2 linked regions of the Schizosaccharomyces pombe genome follow. Changing the gene in region 2 together with the main gene of any one other region gives a genetic interaction. Each region holds a gene or a part of one and is shown on either strand. Other genes may lie near its edges.

Region 1 (7,458 bases), 2.3 Mb from region 2:
ATAATCATCAAAAACAGAGGAAAATTCTTCCTTTTCAGAGAATTCTGAACTACGCGTGTCGAAAATTGAAAGTCGACGATTGTTCTCAGATACAACAGCAACTTTCTTGGATGTTGAGCCTTTGATCATAGTTGCAGATTTGATGCTAGTTTGCACTTTGGAAATTTCCGATATTTCCGCTTTATCGTCTCCCAATACTCTTGCCATCCAAGTCTGTAATAAACCGTCTTTTGATATTGATTGAAATACCTCTTGATCAAATGAAGATAAACTGCTCAAATTTAAAGTAGAAGACCAACCCATGACATCTACAGCCGATGCGATATTTAAATTCTTTGTAAAATTTACCCGATCTATAAACCGAAGTACAGCAGAACCATCATGAGCTTCGTTAGAGACACTCCAAAACCAGGCATGGCCTCCTTCCGTCAAAGCACATAGGGCGGAATTATCGTTGTTTTGAACAGGAAGAATAAAGAAGGTTATTATCGGACTAGTAGGGACTTGACGACATGTACAGAGAAGGGTTGGAGGAATTGCTTCATTGCAATGCCATAATTTTAAAGAATTTAAGTTGAGTACTGCTGCATATTCACCAGCATAAAGAGGTAATATAAAGTCAGATTCTCCAAGTAATAATCTGAACCTGCAAATTAACTGATTTTTCCCGTCTTGCGATATGTATGATTGAAACATACAGATACGATTAACATCTCGGGATACAATTCCATGACCATTAGAGGTTCTTGTTAAGCTTTTTATGGGATAATCATGTCCATAAAAATCGTAACTAACTCTTAACTCAAAGTCACTATAAAAGAAATCGGTAAGACTAAACATGTATTCACGGGCGGAATTTTGAAAAAATAAAATGATGTTATAATCGTAAAATTCGTGTTTTGAGGTCCTGTAAATAGGTATAAATCCGTCAGGTTGAAGAGCGCCTTTGGGAAAGTTCGTTGGAACTTGATTAATAAGCTCAAAAGATGACAAAGTTTCCTGGTCAATTACTAGAGAAAATATGTACAAACATTCAAAAGTAAATAGCAAAAATATATGTGGTTGTCCACTGGCCAAAGCCAGAAGCCTATTTAAAATGCGATCCTTATGCACTTGACCAGAATGGCGACTTATAGCATGTGCTAATGCTATAGTAAAATCGTCCTTATCAATAAAACAGCAGTATGGTGGTTGATCAGATTTGTAGTATTTTCTCAAGTTAAGAAAACAAGAAAGATGCATTAATTGAGAACCAAATCGGCTACCAACTTGCCAAATTCTTAGAACGTTATCATAGCCTACCGTACTCAGGAAGGGAGTCGATCCACTGGCGTCCGGATGAAGGTGTTTAGACCATTGGGAAAACCTTACGCGACAAGGATGAACAAGATAGCTGAAATCATCACATGAGCTAACTGTACCTTGAGGAGATGTTCGCTGCCAAACTTTAGCAAGTGGATTTTTTGTTTCGATAGAAGCTATAAAACAAGCATCGGAAGAAATAGTGCTACTAAGGAATGAATCCGAGATTCTGTTCTGCGACCAAACCAACCTGGGTTTGTCTTCAGAGAAATTTATAAGTTTAGTGTATGACGAAGCACAAAGCAACAGATCAAAATTGTATCCCCAAGATAGTTGAGTAATATCTTCAGAAAGCTGAGTTATATAATTGTAATGATGAGTCCATTTCAAAGAATCGGCGGGCTTATAAATATCCAAAACTTGTCCATGTGCTATTGCTAGAAACCCCGTACGTTGGTCCAAAGCCACTGCACCAATAGACTCTCCAAATTGTATATTTTGATAAGATTCGTAGTTATTTACAATAATTAATACGGTATAGCGAGTTCCAAATGTCTACCATTTAGTTAAACAATTACTTCAATTGGAAACAATACTTTGACATGCTGCTTTCGTTCTGCAGTTTAACCACTAGCAGACAAACGCATATCGTTTGCGTCCATTCACTTACTAATATTCGATTTTGGTTCCATTGTACATTGTCGTAGGCAGCTGTACGTTTTAGAGGTGTACCGGGATTTGTGAATGCCAGAGGCATGTTTACTGCAGAACGCTGTGCATGAGCTAAAATTGGATTTTTTTCGACTTGCAAATAGTTAAGGGAGAAATGACAATGATAAAAGCTATTAATATCTGATTTGACCTAATAGCTGTCTACGTTCCATATACGCATTTGAACCAGTGTGAACACCACCATACTGCGGAATAGCGTAATATTAATTGTCATTCTGAAAAGTTTAAGCATAATGCAATAAAAAAACGCTAAATGAAAAGGCAATGCTTTCACGGTTCTTAATGCAATTTTAATATTCATCTTAAATGGTTACTCTGAGTATTTAATTTTCAAACTCAACGAAGTTTCGCTAGATTCTTTAATTGGTTTGATTAATCATTGAATCAGTCATTCGGATACGTAGGAGACATTGAGCTAGTTAGTGTAAAATATAATAGACTGAGATTTATCGCTGCATTCAATGTATGTTGTGCAAAACGCGGAATTGAAACCGTCGCTGATAAAGTATGAGCGTATAAGCGAAAATAATTACTTGAATAGAAAATTTTCAATGGAAAACTATCAATTCACGAAGTATTAGCTGACGTTTGTTCAAAGAAAAAAATTCAATCGTGAAATGTAGATTTTTATTTGTTGTTTATCTAAATTATGGCTGTAATTGGTAAAGAAGTAGGATAAATCACTTGCGGTTGTAACACTTGAAAAACTTGAAAGCTTTATAATAAAAACAGAAAAGAATCAAAAGCTGTTAGTTTTAAAATGTCAACCGTTCTGCCAATATTTCATTATATGTGATAATAAATGAACAGTTTGCTAAACTTATTCAAAAAATGGGCAACGGCAATACTTCAAAGATGGCATAAAATATGCAATTCAACTTGTAAAGCTACAGACTTTTTGAGTAAGCTTTACTGCTAGTTGACTTAGGAGGTTTTCTATGCAGCGACTTGAATTTCCTTCATAGCCTTTTTTCTAAATATAGGAAATTAGGGACCTAGGTTGAACATTATCTTCAAATCATTTCAATTGACCTGCGAACAAGTCGACGAACTCTTTTCTTAAATTCTTGTGCTGGAAAAAGTTAGTACGATTTGATTATTAAAGAGTAAATTTTTTTGTTTGTAGGTTAGTATATACTCACGATTTTCTCGAAATTCCTTGGCAGCATCTATATTGGCAGGGGACTCATCATTAGGGGAAGAAAGCATGGAAATTACACTAATCAATATGGTTTCCGGAGAGTGTACCGGAAGCCAACGTTCTCCAGCATCCTCGTATCCATACTTGTCATCTCCTGGTGGGTGAAGAATCGATATGCAAACTTCGCCATTCGGATGAACATTAGGGTGCCAAATTTCCGTTGTGAACTGTTACCGTTAGAATCGTTTTTAGGCATAGACTATGTAGTTTCTATCAATTAAAAAATCAATGTATTTACTATACCTTCATCTTTGGAGGCATCAGAGGATAATCCTAATTTTTCGAGGTTAGTGACCAGCTTGTTTACCTTATACAACAAATATTATTTTTCTGTGAAACATAAATACATACTTGAGGAAACGATAATGTTGCATGGAAAAAACCACCTTCATATAATGTATCTTCTGGTCCAATGATCATAACTTCCCATTCAAAAATGGATTTATCATCGACTAAACCAACGCTAAAACCCTGTGGAGGATTTTTTTGAATTTCCTATATCTATCAGTATGTGTTCAAGAATTAAGATACTATGTACAATCATGAATATTTGGATATGAAGATTTCGTGCGCTTACCTTTAGTTGTTTTCGAAGAAGTTGTTCACTAGCAGAAGAAGGCATACTTCCGATATTTTAATAATTACGTTCTAAATATTTGGTAAACTGAGAAAAAGTAATATAAAGACAATTTTTAAAGTAGGGTTGAGCTGAAGGCGAAATACTGGTAGTTGAAAAAGGTTTGGGCGAGCTTCGTAAATATAGTTAGAGTAATATTCCTTTTTTGTATTATTTATGTAACATATAATAAAGCTTTTAACGTAGAAAACATAAATTTAATTTACTCTAAGTAAACATTTTGGTTAAGATTACAATTTTCAAATTTCTTCTATGATATAGTACCTAAGGTTTTATTACACAAAGTAAAACAAACTGTAGTTATATATTGGATGACCGAAAAAAAACGGCATATTCCTATGAAATTATTTGAATATAAAAGAGAGTGTTCTCCAAGTCATTTTGTTGATTAATAAGGTTTGTAACGGAGAAAGCTCAAATTGAACAATAAATAAAGAGGTATGTACAAATGCCTCGAATAATCAATCAATTTTAATGGACGCATAAATTTTGTTAACAAAGAGAAAGGCGCCAAAGAAACCAACCGATCCACATAAGAAAAATACCAAAACAGAAATCAGTAAACTATAGCCGAAATAAAGAACGGCAGTAGCAAGGGAAGATGATGAGATTTTAAAAAACCAGTAAAATACTGAAAATATAAATACATAGATTCCACAAAATCCAGGTGTTATGAAAGAGCGCCACCACCAGTTGTAGTTTTCGGAACACAATTGGAAATAAACAGTGATAATGGAAACCATGATACAAGTGGTTACTAAAATACCGAAGCAAAAGAACGAGAAACCGAACATGAAATACAATGGGTGAAACCATAAACTGTCAAGGATAGAAAACAATTCAATAAGGATTACGAGGAATGGTATAGATCCACCGATAATCGCACTAGGAAAACTCGAAAGCCAAATACTATGAGATGGAATTTGACGAGGGATTTGGTTTGTCCTAACAGGTGGGACGAACTCTCGAGAACGAAAGCCGATTAAAGAACCGACAAAGCTTAATGGTACAGTAAACAATAGATACAGGAAAATGAGTAGAAGCCAGCTTGAAAAGGGTACAGTTGATGATGAACTTTTACTCCAAAATACCATGTTAAAGAAAAGAGCTGCCGCAAGCATAAAACCAGGTACGACAAAAGGAGTTAACAGAAGATTTCGCTTTCTAAGCATACCTTGCATCAGTTTGTAGGATAATGCAGATACATAACCAGAAACGAAACCTGATATAATGAATAAGGCCACCGTTGCTGTAGCTAAACTTCCACGACGAGAGGGTGCAACAATGCCAAAAATTGCAAATAAAACGATACCAGAGCTCATAAAAAGAAGTTGTGCACCAGTCCCTAAAAGGATAGAAAATAGCATGGGTCTACGAGGTGGACGAAATACATCACCATGAACTAGCTTCCAACCAAAATCTTCTTGAACATCTTCTTGATCGACAAAGGCGCTATTATATTTATTAATGTCACGATTTAGCGTTCTGTACAAAATAATAGAAACCACAAAAATTAGAAATGTGTCAATAATTGCGGAATGGATAATAAAGATCCATCGAATTTGCCTAGATTCAATGTGCATATATTTGTCCCATCGGGTAGCCCATGGAGTATCGGAATATTTCCAAGAGACTGAGTAAGAGGTCACGAGAGTAAGATCAGCTCCTTCCGGTAAATACTGTGGATTTGAAGACGAAGAACAAACTGGGTTTCCATCAACTAAAGTAGACTCCTTTGAGACAGGTTTTACATAAGCACCCACAACACGGTGTTGGTCACTAGATGTCGTATGATATTCTATAACTATATCATAATGATTGAATAGAATTACTCCCTTCTCCGTATTCTTGCCTAATGGAAAGCCTGGCGATAATGAGTAGTTCTTTGAGTTAGTCCCTTCTAAATATGTTGCTACGGGCAGATTATCTATGTTCCAGTTAACAACGTAGTTTTTGGAGATTAAATCTCTAATAAAACTGACATCTGAACTGGGAATTATCGAGGCACACAAGGGAACACAATCCTGGTTTTCAAGCATTTTTATTTCAATGGGAGAGTTGTAGAGACGGTCGCCAAAAAGCACACTTCCAAGTGACTCAGATTGTTTTGCGATATTCTCTGGTCGACAGAAGTGGAAACGCTCATCGTAGTCTAAAGTGAAGTTAGTAACAAGCAAAAAAGTTCGAGAGAAAATGTTATATCCTTCATTAAATCATATTTCTATAGTGTTTTCCTAATTTAAAATTGTAAAGTTTTTAAAAAAACACATGAACCTTCATGTGAGCTATCAACCACGTACATTCATAATTAAAGATGTCAGAACCCCGTCCATCTCCAATAAATGGTGAAATGGTATTGACAGTTGTATCAATTGAAGCACCGGGAGGATAGTTTTTCGGACTTAAGGGAGTTAATTGAAAACTAAAACAGGTTTGGAGAAGAACGGAAACGAAAACAACAAAGCTAAATGAACACGAGGGAATACTAGGTAAAAGCATATTTTACTATTTCCCTAATTCTTGGCAAAGACTCGAAACAGAATCTTTTCAAACCGAGATGATTAAGACTAAATCAATATAAAGTGCTACGGTTTTGGGGATTGATGCTGGTAGCATTTAATTTGAGGAATGCTGCTGTACTCTTAGTATGTCTCTTTATTGTGCTATTAACAATCCTCGTATACCGGTTTACGACCTGCTAACTTTCGTTATTCGTATATGAGGTTCAGAACGTGAGAGTTGGAGAACATCGATGTAAGCGAAAACATATCTGTTGAGTTTTCTTGTTATAACTTATTTATCGTTACATAATAATTGAAAGTTTAGTACTAAAAGTTGCGAAGGAACAGGTTGGAATGTCCTTAAATGACTTTCTGCAAACTTTGAGTAACGCTGTTGGAGAGAAAAACTCCAATACGTTGGAGAAATGTATTATTTTAGATCCATCAGAGCCCTCGTTTCAACAGCTCAGTAAAACTCTTTTTTTGGTATGTCGCAGGCTTGCACTACAAGTAATTGTCTTCAGGTTATAACATTAACTAACCGTGATAAAGGATAGAAAGGGGAAAAATAAGTTAAACGGAACCATTCAAAAAGAATTTGGAAGAATAAGAGGTTGGAAGGAATTGGTAACTACCTATTTTGAGTACGTTGAAAATGCTGCATCTTCTCCTGATCAACGAAAATGGGAATTGTTACAAAACTTGTATAGGTAATTAAAAACTTTTTGTTTATTATTTCTCACTTTTGTTTTTCTAGTAACTTGACAACTTGCTTCTCCCATATCGATGGAGCATGGTTGTGTACAATTGTAAAACGCGTTTCAAAGCTTTATGTAAAGCTCTCCCTTCAGCTAGATACATCTACACCTACTTTAGAAGATTCTTTTGATGGTAATGGGTTCATACAGAGGAAATACGTGAGCGATGCATCTAGGAACGTCTTACGAACGTTCAATAGTATACTGAGTGATCGTCAACAAAACATTAACCCTTCGAAGAAGGATGCGATATTCTGTATTGCCAATTTACTTTGTTTACTATATTTTCGCTTAAAGCAAATTCGTCTTTGCCAAACTATTCAAGCT
Region 2 (7,975 bases):
ATACAAAGCTGAAAGCGGATGCAAAAATAAAGAATCCATTCCTCGCCCACAGCAGTTTCCTTTCGGGAGGGACGCTAAACTTAGTAATTGATTTCCTTGTATCATTTGCTTTGGCAGTAACATTGTTCCAAGCAAGGCGAGCTATAGTCAATAGATTTTCGGGTTGAACTTTAATCGATAAAGGAGAAAGTATGTTTGAATCATCGGAAAACCAGGTTTCGCGTAAAGATTTGAGATAGGCATAAAGCTTGGGAGAGTTGAATTGCAAACATGGTCGCAAAGTTGCTTGAGGAAGCTCATTGGTGAAAGCATGGAAAGATAAATAGGCGTAAAACAAACAATCGAGAGATGTTGGCTTTTCACCGAATATAAATTTTGAATCTGAAATCAGGGACTCAAGCGAACCATATACCTGCCGAGCTAATGACGAAATTCTTATACGACGAGCTTGCGTGCGCAGTAGAGCTTGCCTATGTCTAGTAGCATTAGTCCATTTATGAGAAATAGGCATCCTTGATGCTTCATAAGAGACTTCTTCGTCGCGAATACCAAGTGTTTGAGCCAAGCGTTCTTTTGCTTGCCGTTGCAAAGCATTGGGTGTCAAATAATTATGAGGAAATTTAAGTGCCTTTGACCAAGCAGGTCTTATTGCTTCAACAAAATTTTCCTCATTAACAAAGGCTTCTAATAACCAAAGGTCATTGACGGAACCTTCCAATAAACTGGTGAAGGCCATAACATTGGCCAGCTGTTTCGCATCAAAATTATCCAAATTATAGCCCTTCTGTTTCAAGTATATTAAAATGTTTTTCAAAGATCCAATCCAAACATGACCATCCCACAAAGCTGGTAGCTTATGGGTAGGGCTCATACCTGAATTTGCAGTGCGAAGAATTTCAATTTCGTCCTTTGGGACGGCAAGTGCGCAATAAATTAATGCCGCTAAGCATCCAGGATCCATCGTTGGTTGCCCAAGTCCTGGGCTATAAATGAAAAGTTGCAACATTTTGATCAAAAAATGACCCGAACGAATGAATTGAAAAAGTTACCGTCTACAGTAGGGTTGAGATTAGAGAAACACAGAAGAAAGAAAAAAAAGGTAATAACTAACCAACTAGTCCAACTTACCAAATTCGCTGAAGCTAGTTACAATTATCATTCTGATGCTATGCAGTCAAGTAAGCTATACGAACAAGTAACATTGTTACCTATTTATTAGTTGTTAAAAAGTGAATTAAACATCGATAATTAGCACAATAAATCGATTGAGCATTTGAACTTTGAGATTTTACTTAGTATATTTGTATGGCGCTTCTGCTGTATCTGCAGCGTAAAACCCATCTAAAATGAGACTTTGTTTATGCATCCATAGTATAGAAGAATATACAATCTCACAAAAGCTTCACTTGTGATAATCCTTTTTGCACAATGAGTACATATTTAATTATTAAGAAGTATAAGTGTGCTAAAGACTATTCTAAATCCAAACATAACGAACTATTCCTCTATCGAAAATTCAAGTCAATTTATTTCTTATATAAGACAGTATAAATCTTGTATATATATAATTGTACGTATGAATACACATGTAAGCTTTCCCAGTTACCGTCAATGCAAGTCACTCTTTGCTTTCTAGTTAGACATAAACTTTGCGTCAAAGAGTTGATGACGGACTAGCAACAATAATTAGCAAGATATAAAATAGTTCACTCTATTCCAAAAGTTGTAAAATTAGACCCAAGTGGTTTGTTTACTTGCGCTTTGAAACAGATTCGGTGGAAACAGTTTCTACACTCTGAGTAGTAGCAGACTCGGATTCCAATTTAGCCTTTTCAGCTAATTCTTGCTCCCTCATATCTTCAGCGTATTCGCGCTGCTGGATACTTTGAACATGATATCCGAAAACGTATCCAAGTTGAATAAGAATGACACCAGCAAGAAGAAATTCAACAAGAACATGAGAAGCAGCAAGAACGGACAAGTGCATATTTCGTGGGAATTGAACATAATTCTGTAGCTTAACAACCAACATAGAAGGAGCAACATTAACAATAAACAAAATTAGTGCAGTAAGATAAAGAAGCGTGCTAGAGTAAAAGAACAATTTGTCATCACCTTTAGCGCCAGTGGCTTGAATAAGATGGAAAATCATATTAAGTCCCATGATGGTATATACAGTATATTTTACAATGAAATGGGATCCAGCCACCAAAGTATAGTAAGTTTCAGCAGCATCGAAAGCAGACTCAGGGCCAGGACTCCATAAGGTATTCACATCGGCAACGCTCTAAATGACATTAGTAATTTATGCTAAGAAAATAAAGACTATGAACAAAGTAATCAATTCGAAGTGAAGCTCCAAAAACATAAGAACAACAGAAAAATGAGCAGCGCGGCAAACATTGAGCGGTAAGATGAATGCTCGTATCCGATTATGAAAACTTAAACAGACAAAAAGCTCCTTTTTAGAAACGTTCCTGATAAAATAATTTTCCAGATTTATTTTAACAATGCATGTTTTGTAAAACAAATTCAGAATTCACTCAAAGTACCGACTTATAATTTCTCATATTCTGCTCCCTTTGTCTCCAAAAGCTAAACGAAATTGATATCAAATGAAAGTTGATTTTCAAATGAATAATCTTAGAATAAAATAGAAATTTGATTGGAACATACGCTGTGGAAAAGTAAAGCAAAAATAAAACTAGTTGACATAAGGACTCCATAACGGGCAGCGACCTTCAAGCCCTTTTCATCAGCAAAACGAAATATGGATCTTTTAGCCATCTTGAATAATGATAATAAACTTTTTTTTTGTTAATGAAAATATACGTTAGTGGTAGGTTAATTAAGACTACCTTTTTATACCAAAGTGATACCACTCCGCTTTCGACGGTCTAAAGGATTGTATGAGTATAAGGAAATCGAACGCATTTTCCACTAATATGCATTGTATGCAGAAAAACATCATGAACGGCTATCTAAATCTCACGAATAAGAAAAATCAACCCAAGATAAATCAGTTGGCAAAATTATTTAATATAAAATATAACCAGATATATTTGAGCGACTATTGTATGTCACTATTTATTGTAACTGAATACACAACATCATAGCGTTTTCAAGTTAAGCGAGACTGTAAAGCTTATATCAAAATAAGGGAATTTATTAATTGGCTGTAAATAAAACAAATGAATGCCAATGCCTCGATATGTAAAAATACTAATAAAACTACAGAAACAATATAGAAGAACATACAAAGATCCTTTGTATACTTGAAAAAAAGAAATAATTTCATAAATGAGGTGTTTTTGTCTTCCTAACTATATGTTTCGTCAGTTTTCACAATGGTCGCAAAATCTGTTTCTAAAATGCTCAATTGTTTATTATCCTAGTTCCCTATTAGTAAATTTTTTTCATTTCTAATTCTAAAAACTTTTACCTGAGTTTAAACAAACAATTGAACAATATCCGATCGATTTGTTTATCTAATAGCGCATCGCGTAAAATATTTTAGCGTCTTTAAGAAAACATAAATATCTCTTATCTACAAATAACAGAAAATTACATCAACCTTATAAAATATAAAGCATTCCAGAAAACACACTATTCTCCTTTCACACCTAAACTGGTCTTGCATTCATTTGGTCTCGAAGTTATATCTCATATACATATTTGCAGTCCACTCTGCAAAAAACAAATAATACAAAAAGGGTATACGAGTTGTTAAAGAAAAAGGTCCCTGCTTGCTTTACATACTTGGCCGTGTTAATTAATTCAATATGGTGTCGATTTACGTTCCCTTGATATATATTACCATTTTAATGGGCTCTATGTATGGAGTTTCTCGTTTTGTGCGAAAATCCAAAAATCAGGAATCAAAACCAGTATCAGAAGAATGGTTTGGAGAAAATTATTCTAGAAATATATTTTTCAGTCTTTTGCAGCAGAATCCACCTGCCGAGGATACACTTTTGAAAGCTGCTCTCGTTTTACGGGCTACAGAAGGTCTTCGTCGATTGATGAAGCTTAAAGTATCGAGAATGGCATTGAATAATTTGCTCAACCGCGGCGGCGTTGGTGACGAGCTAATTCGTAAGTTTGGTCGTTTGGAAAAGGAAACTGAATTGGAGTTGATGGATATTGCCAAAACTGCCAATTCATTGCAGCCTGGATGGAATCAGTTTATATTCCAAACTTGCAATGAAATAATTGAAAACGAAAAAATTCACAGCATAATTGATAATATTCCCAAGGACATTGATTCTATTTCGCAACGTTGGCAAACCGAAAAAATTCTGTATGAAGCCGCTGATGAGGAATTGCGTATTCAAGCCCAAAAAGAACTTGGAGTGCTATAAATTGTTTTAAAAAAAGATGTTCGTATGTGCCTTTATTCTTTTTTTCCTGTTTCTTTCTTGCATCTGATGTTTTACGTTTTCTTATCTTTTTCTTTCTTTGAAACTAAAATTCCTATTTTATACAATAATCCTTAGAACTCATTCATAAATCAAATTCAGTAATAGACTCCATAAAGGGGGCTTGCTTTATCACTGTCCTTACCTTTATATTGAAAGTCATACTTTTTTCCTATTCATATTATCTATCATCCTATTCCTACTCCCTTTTTTTTCCAAACCAATAACAAAAATATGGAAAGAAAGAAGGAAAAAGAAAAAAGCACTATTTGAAAACAAGTTATTGGAATTCAAATGTATGTTCTGGCCAAAATGTCTCCGTTAAGAGCTCAGCCTTTATAAGTTGGTCTATAATTTACTCTTCATATTCTTTAATATACTCATTCTCTGTTCCATGAACTATCTTGCACAAAAAAAATTGTACATTACTTGTATGGTAATAATCTGGGTATTTATTTTTTTTATTTGCATGTAGATTGCTGCGTTAGTAAAGAGGAGAGTGGATCAAAATTTTTTTTTTTAAATAGAAATGACTGGTTACCAAAAACTTTGCTGTTGCTTCATTTAAAACGGACTTCAAAAATTATTTTTGTTGTTGTTTGTTGTACGCGTCAACAAGTTCCTTCTGCACATATTTTGGTGCTGGAAGATATTTGAGAAACTCCATGCTAAACTCACCCTTGCCTTTAGTCAAGGCTCGTATATCCGAGGAATAAGAAAACATGCTGTTCAAAGGGACCTCCGCCTGCAACGTAAACTCATCTTCGTCTGTATCGCTATCGACAATAGTCGCCTTACGCTTATCAAGATTACCAATTACACCACCTTGATGTTCAACAGGCGCCGTTATGCTTACGTTCATAATTGGTTCCAAAACCATTGGGTTCGCTTGCAAGAAAGCTGTACGGAAAGCAGAAATGGTGGCTAAACGAAATGCCAATTCAGAGGAATCAACGGGATGATAAGCACCATCTTCTAAAACGAACCTGCAATTTTTTATAGGATGACCAATGAGAAATCCTTTTTTCAATGCTTCGTAAAAAGCTTTTTCACAAGCTGGAATATACTGCGTAGGGACTGTTCCACCGGTAACTTTGTTGATAAATTCACAATCAACAACGTTTCCAGATTCGTCTTCCACACCATCCATGTATTCAATGTACCCTTCTACTTTTGCATATTGACCGGCTCCACCAGATTGTTTTTTGTGCAGGTAGCTGAAAGGTACCTTTTTGGAAAGAGTTTCCCGGAATGCAACTCTTGGTTTACCCGTTTCACAGTCAACCTTGTACTCACGACGCATACGTTCGACATAAACTTCCAAATGAAGTTCACCCATACCACTAATGATGGTTTCTTTCGATTCATTATCCAACTGCACACGAAAAGTGGGATCTTCACGCTGAAAGCGATTCAAAGCCTTAGAAAAACTGGTTGTATCTTTGCTCTTCGGTTTTAAAGAAAGTGAAATTACGGGTTCTGGTACAAACATTGAAGTCATAGTATACGATACGGAACCGTCCGTGAAGGTGTCTCCAGAAGCGCATTCGATACCAAATAACGCACAAATCCCTCCAGCTTCAACCTTTTCGATTTCTTCCATATCATTGGAATGCATACGAACGAGGCGTGAAACTTTTATTTTTTTTGTAGAATTGACATTGTAAATGTAATTACCCCGCTTGAGTGTACCTTGATAAATTCGCAAATAGGTGAGCTGGCCAAACCTTCCCTCCTCGAGTTTGAAAGCAAGAGCGACAAGCGGCTTCTCACTGCTAGGAACAAGGGATACTGGCTTTTCTGAGTCTGCTGCATTCAAAGCTATATTTTCGACCTCAGAAGGGTTGGGTAGGTAGTCGCAAACAGCATCCAAAACAGATTGAACTCCAACATTGGACAAGGCAGAACCCATTAATACAGGTGTAAACTTCCTTGCAAGTGTAGTTCTACGAATAGCTCCCATAAGCTGCTCAGGTGTAGGGTCTTCTTCCATTACGTATATATCAGCAATTTCTTCGTCTAAATCGGCAAGCTTTTCAATTAAAGCTGAGCGCTTTTCTTTTGCTAGTTCAATAAGATTCTCAGGAACCTGCTGAGAAATTTCGATTTTCTCACCCTTCGACCCACGATTATAAATTGCACGCATTTGTATAAGATCAACCACACCTTCAAGTTTGTCTTCTTGACCTATAGGAATTTGAACAGCTGCAGCGGGAATTTTCAATTTTGTGTTTATTTGCTGAATGACCTTCCACGGATCTGCACCCATACGATCCATTTTGTTAACAAAAGAGATCCTGGGGACATTGTAGCGGCGCATTTGTCGATCAACTGTGATAGTTTGCGATTGAACACCGGAGACAGCACAGAGTACCAACACTGCACCATCTAGCACACGTAAGGCACGCTCCACCTCAATGGTAAAATCAATGTGACCAGGTGTATCAATAATATTAATGTTATAACTTTTCTCAAAGTCAGTTTTTTGTTTTTCGTTAGCTTCAATCTGATCCACAGTACGTTCCCAAGTGCAATGGGTAGCAGCCGATTGAATGGTAATTCCTTTTTCCCGTTCAAGTTCCATGAAATCCATTTTTGCTCCGACATTATCCTTTCCTCTGACTTCATGAATGTCTTTTATCCTTCCTGTATAGTACAAAACTCTTTCAGTAAAGGTAGTCTTGCCGGAATCAATATGGGCAGATATTCCAATATTTCGAATTTGTTTAAGTCGCTTTTTATCGTTATCATTCAACTGTTCTTGGATATTCAAATTATTTTCTGATGTATTAGAAGCTTCAATGCCCGTATTTGCTACTGACGCGTAACCACGGACGACTAAAGTAGAAAGTCTGGGGAGGCGGCTTGTCAGCGACCTAAATGATAATTTTAGCATTTTATATTATTTCAATAGAATATAAAAACAGCCATGAATAACATAAACAATAAATTCCTAGCTTTGGGAACACGCTGAGGTGGTGAGAGTCGTCGAGCAAGGTGGGAGGAGCAAAGTCGCTTTGTTTACGTGTCGCGAGTTACCGCGGTAACATATTAAATTTATTTAAACGTAAATCAAATACTTACTTAACGCATTTTTAATGAATAACAAAATATACATTTTATATGGAGAATATATATGTATTTGCAATTGAATGTTGCTGATTATTTAAAAGTAGCTTGCTTATCGTCAAGAAAAAAGCGACTTCGTTCTGTATTCGGTATCTCCATGTTTAAATGATTCATGAGGCGGTCCAAGCATAGTACTTATAAAAGAAATACAACTATTTTGTCATGAAGTATTTTGGGCATTGTATCAGAAAGCGCGCTTTTCTAGTATCCACAATCGGTTTGAACCTCACCACCATCGCAATCTATTTCTACTACTAGGGTTTTTTGCTCTTTGCAGTTTTTTAAGCTGAGCTTATTCAATCCTTACTGCTTAATCGGTTAATACCATTTTTTTTCTAATTCTTCTCACGGTTTTTATGACGGCGTATTATATTTAGCTTGAAGAATCTGGACTTAAAAATCTAAGAAGGGTTTAAGAATGCTTGTTG

What was found.
Region 1: of shr3 (region 2) and ubc15, changing one suppresses a phenotype caused by changing the other (phenotypic suppression), as found in Schizosaccharomyces pombe (one large-scale study listed by BioGRID).

The regions. Positions count from the first base shown.
Region 1 is NC_003423.3:3,519,274-3,526,731, reverse strand, and holds ubc15 (ubiquitin-conjugating enzyme Ubc15), read right to left. Parts: upstream 3,963-7,458; 5' UTR 3,858-3,962; coding exon 3,813-3,857; exon of another isoform or gene 3,731-3,812; coding exon 3,587-3,730; exon of another isoform or gene 3,584-3,586; intron 3,509-3,583; coding exon 3,479-3,508; intron 3,462-3,478; exon of another isoform or gene 3,403-3,461; coding exon 3,177-3,402; exon of another isoform or gene 3,107-3,176; coding exon 3,048-3,106; 3' UTR 2,587-3,047; downstream 1-2,586. Other genes in the region: RAVE complex subunit Rav1, read right to left, coding at 1-1,857, 1,973-2,059; EMP70 family endosomal transport protein Emp70, read right to left, coding at 4,334-6,024, 6,173-6,371; TREX/TREX2 complex subunit Pci2, read left to right, coding at 6,728-6,859, 6,926-7,083, 7,131-7,458. UniProt on the Schizosaccharomyces pombe protein: Catalyzes the covalent attachment of ubiquitin to other proteins. Has a role in the formation of chromatin structures that influence the localization of transcriptional silencing factors.
Region 2 is NC_003423.3:1,173,079-1,181,053, forward strand, and holds shr3 (chaperone protein Shr3), read right to left. Parts: upstream 2,836-7,975; 5' UTR 2,788-2,835; coding exon 2,677-2,787; intron 2,288-2,676; coding exon 1,751-2,287; 3' UTR 1,402-1,750; downstream 1-1,401. Other genes in the region: mtx1 (metaxin 1), read right to left, coding at 1-1,006; translocation subcomplex subunit Sec66, read left to right, coding at 3,783-4,361; mef1 (mitochondrial translation elongation factor G), read right to left, coding at 5,002-7,314; protein Trm734, read left to right, coding at 7,966-7,975. UniProt on the Schizosaccharomyces pombe protein: Involved in amino acid permease processing and required for the efficient translocation of structurally related amino acid permeases from the endoplasmic reticulum to the plasma membrane.